4 linked regions of the Schizosaccharomyces pombe genome follow. Each later gene encodes a partner of the first gene's protein in a complex. Each region holds a gene or a part of one and is shown on either strand. Other genes may lie near its edges.

Evidence for each region.
Region 2: mrpl25 (region 1) and mrpl31 share a complex: the UniProt entries of both Schizosaccharomyces pombe proteins name them as parts of the mitochondrial large ribosomal subunit.
Region 3: mrpl25 (region 1) and mrpl7 share a complex: the UniProt entries of both Schizosaccharomyces pombe proteins name them as parts of the mitochondrial large ribosomal subunit.
Region 4: mrpl25 (region 1) and SPOM_SPCC777.17C share a complex: the UniProt entries of both Schizosaccharomyces pombe proteins name them as parts of the mitochondrial large ribosomal subunit.

The regions. Positions count from the first base shown.
Region 1 is NC_003424.3:4,992,754-4,996,777, forward strand, and holds mrpl25 (mitochondrial 54S ribosomal protein mL59), read right to left. Parts: upstream 1,755-4,024; 5' UTR 1,692-1,754; coding exon 1,293-1,691; intron 1,182-1,292; coding exon 1,143-1,181; 3' UTR 871-1,142; downstream 1-870. Other genes in the region: lipin, phosphatidate phosphatase Ned1, read left to right, coding at 1-581; meiotic recombination protein Rec24, read right to left, coding at 3,277-4,010. UniProt on the Schizosaccharomyces pombe protein: Component of the mitochondrial ribosome (mitoribosome), a dedicated translation machinery responsible for the synthesis of mitochondrial genome-encoded proteins, including at least some of the essential transmembrane subunits of the mitochondrial respiratory chain.
Region 2 is NC_003421.2:886,155-890,314, reverse strand, and holds mrpl31 (mitochondrial 54S ribosomal protein mL60), read right to left. Parts: upstream 1,730-4,160; 5' UTR 1,458-1,729; coding exon 1,110-1,457; 3' UTR 1,020-1,109; downstream 1-1,019. Other genes in the region: ubiquitin hydrolase Ubp1, read left to right, coding at 1-878; oca8 (cytochrome b5), read left to right, coding at 1,928-2,075, 2,582-2,673, 2,760-2,909; TIM23 translocase complex subunit Tim23, read left to right, coding at 3,582-4,160. UniProt on the Schizosaccharomyces pombe protein: Component of the mitochondrial ribosome (mitoribosome), a dedicated translation machinery responsible for the synthesis of mitochondrial genome-encoded proteins, including at least some of the essential transmembrane subunits of the mitochondrial respiratory chain.
Region 3 is NC_003423.3:1,736,129-1,741,039, reverse strand, and holds mrpl7 (mitochondrial 54S ribosomal protein uL5m), read right to left. Parts: upstream 2,399-4,911; 5' UTR 2,063-2,398; coding exon 1,199-2,062; 3' UTR 943-1,198; downstream 1-942. Other genes in the region: MAP kinase kinase kinase Byr2, read left to right, coding at 1-723; ebs1 (EST1 family protein), read right to left, coding at 4,011-4,911. UniProt on the Schizosaccharomyces pombe protein: Component of the mitochondrial ribosome (mitoribosome), a dedicated translation machinery responsible for the synthesis of mitochondrial genome-encoded proteins, including at least some of the essential transmembrane subunits of the mitochondrial respiratory chain.
Region 4 is NC_003421.2:1,616,691-1,620,615, reverse strand, and holds SPOM_SPCC777.17C (mitochondrial ribosomal protein subunit L9), read left to right. Parts: upstream 1-1,557; coding exon 1,558-1,647; exon of another isoform or gene 1,648-1,696; coding exon 1,697-1,772; exon of another isoform or gene 1,773-1,902; coding exon 1,903-2,042; 3' UTR 2,043-2,470; downstream 2,471-3,925. Other genes in the region: retromer complex subunit Vps35, read right to left, coding at 1-1,060; SPOM_SPCC777.12C (ER stress response thioredoxin family membrane disulfide oxidoreductase), read left to right, coding at 2,570-2,848, 2,969-3,406; protein Gta3, read right to left, coding at 3,567-3,925. UniProt on the Schizosaccharomyces pombe protein: Component of the mitochondrial ribosome (mitoribosome), a dedicated translation machinery responsible for the synthesis of mitochondrial genome-encoded proteins, including at least some of the essential transmembrane subunits of the mitochondrial respiratory chain.

The sequences.
Region 1 (4,024 bases):
CTATGGCTGCTCTTCATAGAGAAGTAATTTTAAGGAAGCCAGAAGTATTTAAAATGGCTTGTTTGCGTGATCTTTGTAATATTTTCGCCTTACCTGTTCCTCGAACACCATTTTACGCCGGCTTTGGCAATCGTATTACAGACGCAATATCTTATAACCATGTCAGAGTTCCACCAACTAGGATTTTTACCATTAATTCTGCTGGCGAAGTCCATATTGAACTGTTGCAGCGAAGCGGTCACCGAAGTAGTTATGTTTACATGAATGAGCTTGTCGATCATTTCTTCCCTCCCATCGAGGTTAGCACCCGAGATGAAGTCTCAAGCTTTACTGATGTGAATTTTTGGAGATCTCCTTTGCTTGAACTTAGCGATGAAGAAGAAGACGATACTAATAAAAGCACATCCAAGTCGCCCAAAACACCCAAAAATACGAAATTCGGATATCAAGAATTCGAGGGGATTGACGAGGAAGATGCTCAAGATTATTCTCCTAGTCCATTGATTAAGTCTTTCAATGAATTAATGTTTGAAGGTGAAGAAGATGAAGAAGGAGAAGAAGACGTTGAAAATGCTGTTTGAAGTTGCATTTTCCCAATTTCCGATGAAAAAAAAATTACTCGACTGTCCATCTTTTTTTTTAATGCCCCAAAATCTTAAAATCACTTTGACGAATTTCCGTCGGCTTTGAAATGCACTAATAAGCTTAGAAAGTTACATAAATCATATAATGACTTACTTACTCATTCACAAGTAATGAGTTTTGAGAAAGTGCTAAATATTTTTTTTATATTTAAATGCGCTCTTCCTAAAAATTAAAGATAACAAGATACTTCATAATGAAAAGTTACGAATAAATCACATTCTAAAATCCTAAGTCTGCAGATTCAAAACCTAATATTTAAATGTAATTTAACTATTAAAGTAGAATCATATTATTAGTAAAGATTACAAAAATGTATAGACTAGTATATTAGTCTTTTTATCATGCTGCACAATAAAAGACTTTTAGTAAACACATAATTGAGGTAATATAGCAGTAAATTTAAATGAATCTTTAAAAAAATTTAAGGAAGTCATAAACAAACAGGAATCAAAAGGTATTAACAGTATTACGTGAAACCCACTTTGCAGAAGAAGAATTTAGAAAGGAGAAGGTTTCGCTATTTTGCTAGCTTTTTGCTAAAAAGAGTGTTAATAAAGACAATTAAAAAAATAATAATAGTAAATTTTTCACAATCAAAATCAGTAGATAGAAATAAGAAAATCATGAAAGTACAACAGTTTACATACGCGCTCATTTTTAAATTTAGAAGTTTTCTTCAATGATTCCGAAAGTTTTAAACGCCTATTTTCCAAAATCTCATCCCTCTTTCGTTCACTAATTTTTCCTTTAGGATTCAGAAGACCTTTCAAAATATGGCGTGTAGAATCTTTCTGCCATGACATTTGTTGGGGGAGTAAATTATCCAGATTCTGAAGCCTGGCCTCTTTATATATTTCAGCTTGCCTTCTATTGGAATAGTAAGGGTTGATTACAAGGCCATTCTGAGGATTTCGAGTTGCGAGAAACGGATTTTGACGATTTGGATTTGTCGTCCATGCATTTGGATTTTCAGGCGGAAACTTTTTAAAAAAGTTTCCTAATTGGATAGGAAGCCGTTCCAAAGCTTCCTTGGTAAAGACTGGCATGATAAGGTTAAAACCTCTTTAATCTATAGAGAAGCTCAAAAAGACAGTGAGTCAAGCACTATTAGTATTAGAAAATACATTGACCTAAGATGTCGGCAAACGTTTAACTGCGCTATATTACGTTAAATCAATCATTACTGTTCATTCTTGAGTTCTTAATCGAAACTTTTCATCGTTTGAAATATTAAAAGAGTTTATTATCTCAGACAATTCTAAGCCAATTTATTGACTATTAGCGTTTATTAGGTCGGACTAATTCTTAGTTACTCAATTTAGTTCCAATGGATATACTAATTAATATAATATTACGGTGTAGCAGTACTATAGTTAATAAATACAAAATTATCCAGGGTATTATTTTATACAAATATAAAAATCACTAACATATTTCGTTATTATGTATATCGTTGTTAAATTAGCAACTATACAAACTCCTTAAAATATTTTACATACTGCGTAGATGGCTTCCTCTCGCATTAGTCCCTCTACCTTAGGCATCTTTGTTGGGTTGCGTTATTTAATTATTGAAGGCTGACAGTATGTGTGATTGTGTTCCGCCAACGTAGCATTCAAACGCTTTCAATCATTATCGTTTTTAGTTGTGATTGCTTCTATGATTCCATCAAATGAGGCCCGTTCAAGTAAGCTGTGTGTGGTTATAGAGTTTCTGATGCCAGTAAAATTATCATATCAGATCATGTACGGATTCCTACTGACACATGTTGAGAGTAAGCAAAAAAAGCTCAATCATGCTTATTTTGAGTATTTTAAAACATAAATAAAAGTAAAAATTATTGTAGGAAAAGTCCGGTCATCTCTCGATGACTCCAATTAGTGGAGAATATAAGAAATACTAAAGGAATTATTTATAATGACATGTAACGCAGTGTGACATAAAGTTAGTAGTGCATAGAACTGTTGGTGATATCAAGTTGACAAGGAATCGATAAGACGCTCTTTAATGTTGAATATTAATAAGCCCTGTAAGTATCCCTGTTCTTCTAGTTAGGTCTATAGCTGAAAAACCTTCAATTCTCTGGAGCTTGTGTGGTTTTATCCATTATCACTTCCTTCGATTTATCCCTCGTAAGGAATAGGATAGCAATGCGTATAGATCAAATCGCGGATTATGAATGAAGGCTTGTGCGATAAATTTCCTTTACTTGATCAATAATCTTGTTGTCAACGCGTTGTATTAAATGCGCTTTATTGGAAAAGAAGAAACATAGCTTGTTGATTGAAATTCCAAAGTTTCTTGTAAACGAATTTGGAAAGCACTTCTGTACTTGAAAATAATACAAATTGGCCACTATATATTCGCTTTTTTTGTTCCTTTGTTTCTTTTATCCATCAATTTTTAAAAGCAGAAAACCTTTCCCTTATGCCCAAGATTTAAAAGGGAACATAATATCAAAGTTCATCGAATGGATATGATGATCAACACTTTCACCACAACGTTCTTTGTACATTGAATTTCCAGAAAAATTCCACCAAATGTTGTGAATATTTTAGGATAACAAAAGGAGTCAAATTGGAAAGGCAAGAAATGAATGTGTGTTAAATAGTGGCCCTCAATATATTACTATTAGGAAATGTCTTCGGGAAATAGCATATCTTTGAGGCCAATCAAAAGGATGGATGGAGCAGAGTAGGCACTCTTAGACAACTCTTGTTTATCAGTTTGTAATTCTTCATTTGTGATTATGTCTCTTAAGATTTGGACACATTTGCTTGCGGCAGATGAAAGCTGAGCATCGAAGGAGTGTAGACAAGGGAAGTATATCTCAGCGTACGAAAAAAAACATTCACTATATAACAACCGGATAGATGGGTTATCGTTTTTGCAATATGTGAAGCATATTTTCATCCGTTTAACAATTTGATCTAGTAATTTTTCCAATTGCTCTACGGAAGCGAATGAGAGCTTGTTAAATATCAGTTGCTCCAAAAATACGTAAAATTCCAAAAATTTCGCTCTGGAAATCACTCCAGTTCCATTGTTGGCATTGTTTTGCATAATCGACTGCGTGATTATAATGAGATCCAGTACATAATCTCCCAATTCAACTAGTCTTGTTAAAACCAACGGCGACTTACAATCTCTTTTAAGAAACATAAAAATTTCTTCGAATAAAGTTTTAATGCGCAAAAAATCCGCACCCTCGTATACTTTTGTTTGCTTCAACTTTATGTCAGCAGTGCATTTTAAGAATCGAAAAAGTCCATTAAACGTGTACTCAATATCCAGATGCGCAAGGCTTCCGGATGTTTGCCTCTTTTCCTGAAGATTCTCGTGAACATTGGTCAGCAAAAAGATATCTAGATTGGATTGT
Region 2 (4,160 bases), on another chromosome or scaffold:
CAATACCTATCGTCCATGGATGTAAACGACCGGCAATGCCCGGATCATACCAGTCTAACGATGTGTTTGGATTTCCTTTACAACTCAACGTCCGTTCTCGAAATGTACTCACAAATGATTTAGTGAAAGAGATTGTCGAACTGTATCGAGTTTATGCAGGCATAGACGTAGCAATCGGAACTCTTCAGCTTGGACTGAAGCGGATGGAAAGTAAGGCCGGGAAATGGGAATGCATAAAGGAAATTGAGGTTAAAAGGTTTGAAATAGTGGAGGAAGAGGAAATCGTTATTGACGACAAAACTGTAATTATGTGTCTATGGAACGATCAACAATATGAAAAGTTATTTTATAACTGCGAATGGATATTTGAAAAAATTCAGTTCCATATGGAGTCCATCACCCTTGAAGATTGTTTACTGGAGTTTTCCAAGCCAGAGCAGCTTGATTTACAGGATTCCTGGTATTGTCCTGGGTGTAAGGCATTTCGACCGGCAACAAAACGGCTGGAGATCTGGCGATTGCCAAAAATACTAGTCATTCATTTAAATCGATTCAGCGGCCACGGTGGAGATTTGCGGAGAAGACGTAAACGAAGGGATTTAGTAGTTTATCCAGTATTTGATCTCAATTTGAAGCAATTTTTGAGTCCATTTATAAAAGATCATGAGTGGCTATCGTCACAGAAATCGATGCTTTACGATTTGTATGCAGTGGACAATCATCACGGGTTTATGAGTAATGGTCATTATACTGCCTATGCAAGAGATGCATCGAGCCAAACATTCTTTAAGTTTGATGATACAGCTATTTGTGAAATAGATCCGGAGGATATTGTCACATCGTCTGCTTATGTATTGTTTTACAGAGCAAAGAATTAAAGAGACGTATAATAGAGGTGATATGAACTTTACTCTAACTAAAGGCTAATGTCGTTTGTTTGAATATGTATGAAACTGGAAATTGAATATGAACGAAGACGAGGAAGAGGTGGGAGTTTTTGCAATAAAAAAGTAATAAAATAAGCTATTAAAATAATCCATTACATTTATTATTCATAGAGCATTAAAATTATGAAAAAAAAAGTAGTAAACTTTTGCAACCAGACGTTTTTAAAAGCCAGTGGGATTAACACGATTAGTACTACGGGTCCATTTTGGTGATTTATGGACACCCTTGCGGAAGCCTTGGAGACCGGCACCTTGAGTCTTCCTGGTAAACATAGTGTATTTATCCTTTGGTGACATTTGGGATTCAGGCTGATGGTTAGCAACGAAACTTTCAATTCGTTTGCACGATTGATTTTTCTCTTGCAACGCCGTGCGCAAAACATCTACCACCTCATCGACGGCACGAAGTCGTTGACGGTGACGATATTTTCTTCGCTGGGATAATCTCCAAGGTACTTTATGAACAAGACCGCCAAAGCGAGCCAAAGTCGAGTTAAATGCACCCAGCATATTTTTCGTATAAAATCAAAAGGAGAGGAAGAAGGTTGGATCAAAAAGAGCAAATAAAAATTTTTTGTTAAGTTTTTGGGTGATAGACAAATTCTGAGTAGTTGATGGTTTGTCACAAAGTAGTTTACGGCTCCAACGAAACAGCAAAGATGTGAACAAAAATTAACTTGATTAGCGTCCTAAATTGATTTAAATATTATATTGCCATTCAAATATAAACACTACACCTCCAAAATGGTGGAGTTGGTTAACTGAAGAATGATATAGGTTTTGGGTAAGTTCATATCCTTGGGTGTACCTTCCAACTCGAATCCACGTGACCACCTGCCAGTAAGAATCGGCTCATTTCTACTTCCCACCTGCTAGATAAATCGCGATAGGGCATTTGCAACCAACATCTCGAGAGTAATTAGCTCCTGGGTTATAACCGTTAAATACCACCTTTAAGGAAGAATAAGCAGAACTTGATCATGGCAGAGAAGACAATTACTGTTGAAGAAGTGTTAAAACATAACACTCGTGATGATTTGTACATTGTTGTAAAAGACAAGGTGTATGATATTTCCAAGTTCCTTGACGCTCACCCTGGTGGTGAAGAGGTTCTTGTTGATTTGGCCGGTAAGTAAATTTTTAGGGGTACGCGATAATGGAGGTCTTGAGGAAGATTGGTTGTAATGCATAAAAATTGGTCGCGATTGTGTGGAGTCGTAGAAATCGAAGTTTCAGACAACTAGCGTTACAAAACTTTGAATTTCACGAGAGTTTAGGTGTCGCATATACACATGTTCTTTAATTTGAAAGATTCAGGACGAATCTTTGCCGTAGGAACGTACAAAAATAGATGCGATATCCTGAATAAATACGATGTTTAATGCGACATTGTCATTGAAGGTGAATTGTTAAGTACAGTCTATATGTTCCAAGATTGATCGCTCTCTACTCGATGTTTTGTATTTCCAGTACTCTGAATACACTGAAATACATAATTTTGGAAAGATTGATTGACGATATCGCTTCGATTCTTCACATACGGCTTTTGGATTGGCTATACAAAGTTTCTGCCTTTCTCTACCATCGCTAGGGGCTTTTTTTTGTTCGTTTCTGTGATTATTAACTTGTTTTAGGTCGTGATGCTAGCGGTCCTTTCGAGGATGTTGGTCACTCTGAGGATGCTCAGGAGTTGCTCGAAAAATTTTACATTGGAAACTTGCTCAGAGTATGTCATTTATTTTTTCTCTTCGTTCGCCATAGGCTCGTTAAAATTTTTGTAAAAATTTGCTTCGACACTCTAACATATTTTAGACTGAAGATGGCCCTCAGCTTCCCACAACTGGTGCTGCCGCTGGTGGAAGTGGATATGATTCTTCTCAACCAGTTAAGCCTGCTATGTGGCTCTTTGTCCTTGTGATGGTTGTTGCTTACTTTGCTTTTCGCAAGTATGTCCTCAAATAGACTGCTTAAATTCCCAGTCTTACTTTTGCGCTCAAAGAAATTTAAAGGCCTTCTTTCGTTTTGGGTCGTTTAAATGTGCTGAATATGGTTTTGTGATTTTGAGCTAGCAAGTTTCGTTTTTTGTTGTTGTTAGATATCTACTTTAGCTTTCTTTACCTGTTCGTACTTAGGATATTTACGGATTCAATGTATTCCTTTAACACGCTTTGGTTTGGCTCTTAATGTGAATGGCATATTAATATTAATAGAGACCTTTGATTTGTCTGGACGTAAATTTAATTCACAACGGTCTTATGCTTGCTTTGCGTAACTGTATAATTGATAATACTTAGTGTTATATTTTTTGTATTTTCGTTGTTTGTTCTCTCATAAAAAAAAGTTTTATAGTTTCTTCTATTCTATTGTTTTATCGATGGACCTATGCCCAACTTGTCTAGAATTTTAAGCGGTGATCGAGTAAATAAGTTCGGGCGTTATTTAACGATCGAGGATTTATTCATTAAGTCTTTTTTTTTATATATAAATGTAAATTCATGATAATTGCGACACTTTTTACGTCTCAACAATTTTTTTCTACTATTTTAATTTAGGTGCTAATACACAGTTCCTGTAACCACCGCTACCTGCAGACAACCACCATCGCGCCTTTGCGAAAAATCAACTTTTTAAGATATGTCTTGGTTGTTTACAAGAAATAAAGAAGAGGAACCAACCTCAAAGATTGATTCTTCTGAATTGCAGGTCCCTACCGAGGCTACAGCCTCAGATATTTTATCGGGTTCTGAATTCGATCCCGCCAAGTTACATCCCCTCGCTGATTTAGATAAACCTCTGGATTACTTATTGATTGAGGAAGATGCTCTTTCTACTCTTCCAGGCGATAGCATGGCTATCCCATCTCGCGGATGGCAAGATGATCTTTGTTACGGTACTGGAACTTCTTATTTAAGTGGATTGGCGATTGGTGGACTCTGGGGTCTCAATGAAGGCATGAAGAAAACTAAAGATATTACTTCCACACGGTTGCGCCTTAATGGTATTTTGAACGGTGTTACACGACGTGGTCCTTTCGTTGGTAATTCCTTGGGTGTGCTTGCCCTCGTGTATAATGGAATCAATTCTTTAATAGGCTACAAGCGCCAAAAGCATGGATGGGAAAATAGTGTTGCAGCTGGTGCATTGACAGGTGCTCTTTACAAATCTACTCGTGGACTTCGTGCTATGGCTATTAGTAGTTCGCTTGTAGCCACT
Region 3 (4,911 bases), on another chromosome or scaffold:
ATGGCTGTTAAGCAAGTGATCTTAGATTCTGTTTCTGAATCAAAAGACCGCCATGCCAAACTTTTAGATGCATTAGCGGGTGAAATTGCTCTTCTACAGGAGTTGTCTCATGAGCATATTGTCCAATATCTCGGTTCTAACTTAAATTCGGACCACTTGAACATTTTTTTGGAATATGTTCCTGGGGGGTCGGTTGCCGGATTGCTTACAATGTATGGAAGCTTTGAGGAAACGCTAGTCAAGAACTTTATTAAGCAAACCCTTAAAGGCTTAGAATACCTTCATTCACGCGGCATTGTACACCGTGATATAAAAGGTGCGAACATCTTGGTTGATAATAAAGGGAAGATTAAAATTTCGGACTTTGGGATATCGAAGAAACTTGAACTAAATAGTACCTCTACGAAGACGGGTGGTGCTCGCCCTTCTTTTCAAGGCTCTTCTTTTTGGATGGCTCCCGAAGTGGTGAAGCAAACTATGCATACGGAGAAAACAGATATTTGGTCTTTGGGATGTTTGGTAATCGAGATGCTCACTAGTAAGCACCCTTATCCGAATTGTGATCAAATGCAGGCCATTTTCAGAATTGGGGAGAACATTCTGCCGGAATTCCCTTCTAACATTTCTTCATCGGCCATAGATTTCCTTGAGAAAACGTTTGCCATAGATTGTAATCTTAGACCTACAGCATCAGAGTTGTTGAGCCACCCGTTCGTTTCATAAGCCGGCTAAGTTATGATGAAAACAGAAACATTATTTTACGATCTATCTTTTTTATGTTTTTTTGCATCATTATCATTGCATTTATGCCATTTAGAACTAATGAATTTATTTAACCTATAAACCGTATGATTTAAGTTGCTATATTTTTCTACAATATTCATGTTTTTAATGATTTTGTGAATGTCCTTGATAAATACCATTATGAGTTTAGTTACTAAAAAAATACTATTTTACATGTTCAGTTTGTTTAAAAAATATCCATTGATTATTCCTTTTCAAGAAAAAACTTTTTATTTTTATTTACTTTGTGAAAACGATAACATAAATATATAATAACACATATCTACGGGAATTCTATCACTTAAACAAGTAAAACTCAAAAACGTATGTATGCATTAGTCGTAGAGAAGGGGATTTTTTGTTCACTCCTTGAGGAGAAAAGATTAGGTATAGTAGATATAAAATAAATTGTCTACTATCCAACATAGCCTTCCTTATTTCCATCTGTAAATGGAATAAGACTGCTGACGAAAAAACGAGCCAAACGGGTATCTTTGGAATTGGTTGTTATATTTACGTTAAATCCAGGTAAAGAGTGCGGATACATCTCATAAACAGCTTCAATTTGGGGAAATAAAGGCATGACTTCACTTGGTAAACCAAAAGATATGTTTCCTGTTTGATCTCCGCTTGTAGGACTCAGGCCCTTGAAATCATGAAGCTGAGGAAGAACCAACTCAGATAAGATTGAAAGAAATGTATACATAGATTCTCCAGTTAGAGTAACCTTTACACCTACTGGCACACCTGAACGAAGTTTCCAGGGAGAAACGTCCTTACGTGCATAGACTATTTCGGGCTGCAAACCCGTTATAGAACGAAATGCCATCATTGTACTCAAGAGCTGCGTTTTGTCAACGAGTGCTTCTTTATGCATAGTGCTGACGACAACTTTGCTAATAGAAGGAAGGTTTTTAGGATTAACGGACTCCTTTACTGGTAACAGAGGCTTATTACCACGCATTTTCTGAGGAGGCCGGTTTTTATAATAAGGGTTATCACCAATCCACCTTGGAAGTCTGTCTTTCTGTGTATGTTCATCTGTGCTTAACGCTGTATCTATGTCATGTCGATATGAAGCAGCTAATACATCCGGTAAAATGGTATCATGCAAGTGTTCTTGTAAGCGATTTAACATGGTGGGTCCTGGACGAAAATACTCAGAATTTGGATCCCATCCTGGTAGGGGCCTATTCTTGCCCAGTTTTTGCTTTACAGTGATGGTTCTTCGCTGCAGAAAGTTAACTGATATTCTGATATTTTTTCTTATCCCAAGCATTGTTAAAAATTAAAAAATGAATTAAAACAAGTATAATGACAAAGAGAAACCAAAAGCGACAAAAATACAACAGGTTACTTTCTAGGGAATTTTCGTGAAAATCCTTTTGCTTTATAAGCAGATGAGCACTTGTGTTATAATTTACCAATAAATTATAGTAAATAACACAAATCCGGGAAAAAATATTTATAATCACGAAACAAGGAAATTGTAAAGACCAATGTCCACAAATGATACCTGTTTCTCAAATCTTCAAAGGAAGGTTTTAACAAATGGTTATGGATAAAACAGGTAAGTCTCGCAACCAAAACAATTTTGCAATGGATCTTAGGTACTAGGGCTGGAAGATTGCTCGCGTTTGTCTAGTGTATTGTCATGGTTAGTGTACCGTATTACCTAGTGCCAAGTAAGGAAATCCGAGGCATCGTTATAATCATATGCCACACGATTTTGAGTGCCAAGTGTAATAGAAAGTATTGTACTTGTAACTTACAAACTTATTTAAACAAGTTAGCTTTAAAGCTTTAAGCTGATGTCTTTCTGTTTTTTTTTATACGTCGAAAAACAAATGTTTTTCCTTCAGCTGGTACATAAAAAAGCAGCTAATTGCTCTTCTTTTACAAGATGATTTTATTTTTGTATTTCTCAAAATCGTGCCAAATGGCATGCCACACATATTCAAATTATTGGAAAGTATTATTACTAACTGGCTCTACAAACTATTTGGATAGGATAGTGATGCATGTCATAAGATCACTTTCATGCAATAACAATACTAATCCAATTCGTTCTTTTGTATTCACTTTGTTCTTGTTCGTTTTTTACCTTCTTTCCTTTCAATATAGATGTGTGATGATGAATGAGAGATGCAAGAAGCTTAGCTCAAACACAATCCTGAAAGAGTAAAGTACTCAACATAAAATAATGCATTTATACATTTCGTACCTTTATCAATCTATTATGCAACAATAAAAGCATTTTATCCAAAAGAAAACAAGTTGTCTTAATACTTGAAAAGATCAATAGATTTACTTTTAGTTTGGTTTTCTAAAAAGAGAATCACACTTGATAAGAAATTGATTGCCTCGAATAACTCAAAACTAAATTATCTTAAACAACAGATACCGCCAGTGTATACTCAAAAATCATAGATATATGTTTCGAATTCGTAACACTTTAATGAAAAACCAAGCATTTCATAGGAAAGACAAATTTACACTTTAGTTTTGTGTCCAGGCATTACGATAACGTCTGGTAAAGACATAAAAAGAGGTATAAGATCTGGCACTTGAGAATCGCCAGTCATTACAATTTGGATACAGAACAAGCTCTAGAAACTCAAGATAGTGCAGTAAATGTTTATAAAGAGCATTTCTGCTTAGAATCACAAAACAAATTGCACTGAGTAACCAAATATTGAATATTCACTGTCCAAGCTCATATGCTTATTATCAATCAATTGGCAAGCTGAGGATATCCAACAAGTCAGATAACTTCATAATTCGAGGCTAAAGATTCTATTTAAAGAATTCAACGCAGTCCTATGTAAACAATTAACCCATTCTATGATATATATTGTAACATTGGGAAGCGCCTTAATTGCTTGTGTTTAGGTCAAACCAGAACAGCGCTATGATAACTAAACAACGTTTTATTTTCCCATCGACCATATTTTAATTTAAGTGTCGTGAATACCCGTACACTTTAGGCCATTTGATGACTATTCATACTTATATAAAAGTCAAAGCCTTTCTTTAGGCAAGTGAAGAACCATTTCTAATTCGTAAGCACAGTGTATAAACAAAGAAATCCGTGATACATTATTTTGGGTTATTTCACTTCGTGAGAAATAAAGCAAGAAATTTGTTCGTTGTTGGCAGCAAAGTTAATTGACTGCTTCTAACAAACTTCAGAATTTTTAATGAAACATTACAATCAACAATACAGTTTAATTATTGCTGATGTTAACCATTTTCTTTAATAGCTCAGACAAAACCAAATGTTCCGGAGGTTCCGTAGCAGGCGTAGAAAATGTGTTTAAAGCAGGGCTTCTCAATGGGCGGAATAAAACACGTTCACCTTGTAAATGTCCGTTTTGCGGAGATCCGTTCAAGTGTGTCTCACAAGAACTGAGATTCCCAGACACTAAAGGATAAGAACTAGTACTTTCACTAAATGGTGTGCTAGTCCTACTAAAACCAGAATCGACAGCTCTAGGACTCTCATTTGAAAACGTGCGTTGTTGTAATGAATGAACAGAGCACCCGGTAGTTTGAGCAGGTATAGGTTGAACAGGTCCAACGAGGCTATCCACCATCCTCCCAAATTGCAGACTTGCAATACTAGATGACTGATTAGCTATGGATGGTGTTCCAGATAAAAAAGGAGATGTAGGAGAAGATTGAGCAGATGGAAAAGAAGATGAGGACATTAGTGAATAATTCGATAATCCCATTCCAGTAAAAGCCTGTCCGCTAAATGGAGATCTGTGGGGTGTTGGAGGCGAAGAAAAAGATGTGCTATTTGGTGTACTTTTCGCTCGCATATTCAGTAACACATACAAAGAATCTAACGCAATTGTTATCAGTGCGTCAGAATCATCAACTTGGGGACCTTTACCTTCCTCATTAAAAGGATAATGATTTGAAAAGTAAAGCCACTGTAAAGTATCACGAGGAACTCCACAAACCTTAACAAGAGGGAAAAAGAATAGCAGGCCGATACTTTTAGAAGAACAGCGTACAAGAACAGAGTCGTCGGGAGCTGTTTGATTTGTGTTCTCCAAAAAGAAGCTTAAACGATTGAATATCTGTGAAAGTCCAGTTCGAATATCTTTAGTAAGCCAGACG
Region 4 (3,925 bases), on another chromosome or scaffold:
TTACTTTATCTCCAGGGCATTCTTGCTCGTCTTTTTGCTGTACTTCCTCATTAATTTTTATGTCTCCTAATTTTTCGGTTACAGTCTCAGATTCATCTTCATTAGAAGAATCAGATTCATATTCACGTTGGACATAGTCCGTAAGGCGATTCAACATAGCGACCACAAGTTGGGTTACGTTTACGCTTGGAGAAAGCTTTATGACCGTACCGAAATATGTATCGAGGGTTTGAAGATGCATATTATCAGAAAACGCCTGACAAATTACTTCAACAAGATACTCTTGTGCAAGTGAGTCCCGACATTCAATAATTTGCTCGATTATGGCAGGAAGGACATGATCTCGGTAAGTGTCTATATCGAGGTTTAACTGAGATAATCGAACCAAATTCAGCCCAACAAGAACCTTTAGCTCATTCCTTTCTTGGGTACGTTTGGAAAATTCTTTAATTGGACCAAGATGTTGGATTCTAACCCACAATTTATTCATTTCCGTAAAGTTGATAACTAAAAATTTAACAGAATCGAGTACGGTTCCTTTGCGAGATGCATCTTCCTCATCTTCTGATCCCAAAGGTAATCCTTTTCTTGTTTGGGTAAGCAGATAATGGCGCAAAAAAAGACCTCTTAACGGATGCTGAACACCTCTACACATATCTAACAAATCATTCATAATTTCACGTACAAGGGCATTAGGCGTTTCCAAATAAGCGCTTCCAACGGTTATCATGAGATATAAACGAGGGACAATACTACCGGCATATTGAACAAGTTCATAAAGGTCCATTAGGTTGTGAGTACCGTTCAGATGCGTTTCCAGCAATGTGCCCCCAAGTAAACGCAAGCTTTCCATATTAAACATATACAGCTCATAGTATTGTTTTGGAGTAAGTGCAGAATTTCTCATTTCCACGAGACTAATACTGCAATTACGAAATGCATCCATCAATCGTCCTGTCTGCAAGTTTCTTTGCATCAGCCTACTAGACTGCTTGCAAATATTTAAGGACTCTTCCAAGCTCCTTGTAATTTCTTCGTTAGCAGTATTAATTCCGTTCATAGAGCCCTAAATATCCACTTCCAAGTGTTTCAATTTAACCAACGTAATTGTAATTTCAGTATAGTTTTACTAGCGGCCCAACTTTCGAACAGAAAAACAGGATGTTTGTTATTCTTTTTAATTCACTAATATTAGCAATGTTTTTTATAATGGGTTCGTTGAAATGTCTACAAATAAAGTTGGTGGTACTGGTTGAGATATATTGGTAGATCTTGAAGTATTGCGCGCAGCACAGCTTGGAATCGCGCTTCGCTCAATTTCAAATTGACCATTTTCATATCACAAATATCGCGCCTAAATAGTATATTATTTTGATAACAATTAAAAGAAACTATAAATCTAATCATCGGAAAGGTTCACACTACAAGATTCGTCTTAGACCTCTAAACTAACGGTTTTTGAATTCTACATTCAATTGAGAATTTATTTAAGCTGCTTTTCTTTTTATTTTGTAAAAACTTTCTTGACGGATTTCTTGGTGCACCCATTTAATTGAAATGAGTATTATGAAACCGACAACTCGATTTTTTCGCTTCAATTCCCTTGAACTAGCAGTCTCACCTTTTCAAAGAATTTATGGGCAACTGGTATGTCAAGCTTATAAAAAAAATCACCGTTACTTACACAGTTATTTAGAGGTTTCTTCGTAAACAGCCAAAACCGTTTTTGGTAAAACTGTTAAACAACGAAGTTTCAAAGCTAGGAAGGCAAGGTATGCTAAATTTTTCATAATTATAATGTTCTTCATTTCAAACCTATAATAGGGAGGTAGTGGTTACATCCTTTTATTATAAGAAATGCATTCTTTTAGCCGTCGTAGGAAACTACTAACTTTACAAAAGGTGATGTCGTCTCAGTGACAAGGGGATATTATCGAAATACACTTTTCCCCAAGAAGCAAGCGATTGCTGTTGATGCCTTAAAATCTATGAAAGCACATTTGTTACAAGGGTCCGAATTCTCGACGAAAACGAAGGAATAATAATACCTAAACTCTCACTTAGTTCAATCAACATAAAAAGAATTTATTGAGTTTATTAGTGGATTAATTAAGGCTTAGCTAGCTGCAATTTGAACAATTCTAGCTTTTCATTACGAGATATTGTTACATTACTAACAAGAATTACGAAGTATTCAGCATTGACTTTTTTCTATAAAAAAATATAAAAAATTTAATTAAAAGGCTTCACTAGAAGCGTAGTCTCTTTCTGAGTTTGAATATTATCGTTATTGTAATATTTTATCAGGGTTGATGCTTAGTGTTTCTCAATTACAATAACAAGCTTTGGATTTTCCTATAATAGTATAGTTAATATGAAATTTAAATCCTTGAATGGTAAACGTTTACTGCGTATTGTGCGGCCATCGTTTCTGCTCTATCAGCTCGTCTAGCATCTTCTTCTCACAGCTACCAACTATTTTGAGTTGGATCCAAAATCATCTCATAACTCGTGTTTATTATTGCTAAAGCAGCAGAGAAAATATTTTTCATTACCTTATTCAGCTTCAATGAAAATTAATTTGTTTTTTGTGTTTCTATTTGAACTTCTGCATTTCGTGGCAGCTTATAGTTGTGAAGGAGATGAATCAGCTGCCATTGAAGCTATGAATGTCTTACAGGTACCGTATGAAAAATACAACACAGACCCAGTTTGCGCTTTTGACAATTCCACCGTTGTCGAACTTTCAGATAAAACCTGGGATCATGTCATTGAATCTGGCAAATGGTTTGTGCAGTTGACTGCTGAAGGCTGTGCTAACTGTACTCTTGGAGAGCTACTTTTTAACGTAAGTAATGGACTGCATTTAATGTTGTCCAAATGCTCTTGTTATGAGATTGAATTTTGAGCCTCGGAAATAAATTAAACCATCTTTGGATTTAATTGAATCTGTACTAACTAATTTTAGGACCTTTCGCATGCTTTTCATGAAAAATATCCGGATGTCCACTTTGCCCGTGTTTACTTGAGCAGTAGCCTCGAACTTTCTGTACGCTTACTCATTTCTCGGATTCCTTCTTATTATTTCATCGATAATCAAAATTTCTACCGTGTTTCTCCTCAGGTTCTTCCCAAGAACAAGGCAATCGCCTTATATGAAAAAGACGGGTTCAAAAGTATGAAAAAAGAGCAAGGTTTTTTCTCTGTTAACGGGCCCTTGAAGTCCTTTTACTGGGTCTTTGGAAAGGCACTTGCACTTTACGGACACTTAAGTCAAAAATACACCCCTCTTGGAATGAATGTAGCTATTTTTGGGATCTCTGCCTACATAATGTATCGCTCTAGCAAAAAAGCGAAACAAAAACAAGCCGCTGCTGCTGCCGCCGCCGCTGCAAAAAAGAAATAAGCTATGTGGAAAATACTATTAGTTTTTGATAATATCAATTTTTTGAATAATTATACGAGAGTTTGTTACATGTTCTATATGTAAGGCACCGCTCTAGTAAAGGTTTATACCCTATTTGTTTCATTCCTTCCTTTTTTAACAGAACGTAGATTTTCCAACCTTATTGCTTGTTTGGAGATTCATTAGAGGAATCATCTTTTAGCTTAGAATAAACGGCAAAGTACTGCCCGTCTCTTTTCTTAGCATTCTGAAATACATTCCACGGCTCTTGATCGGGTAATGATGGTAGAGATTCCGCATTAATAGCATGATTCAAAGTACGAAATGGTTCCTTAATGAAGGATGTATCAAGTCTCTCAATTGCATGCATTTGAATGATTCCTTCGTTGAGTTTTAGAATTGTTCTTTCATTCTCTTCCTTAGAGTCTGCTTCACGAAGACCAACGAGCCTCAGCAAATGACCATACTCAGTTAAGCCAATTGGTTTGGGTGGATTTCCTTGGAGAATTCGTTTAAGTG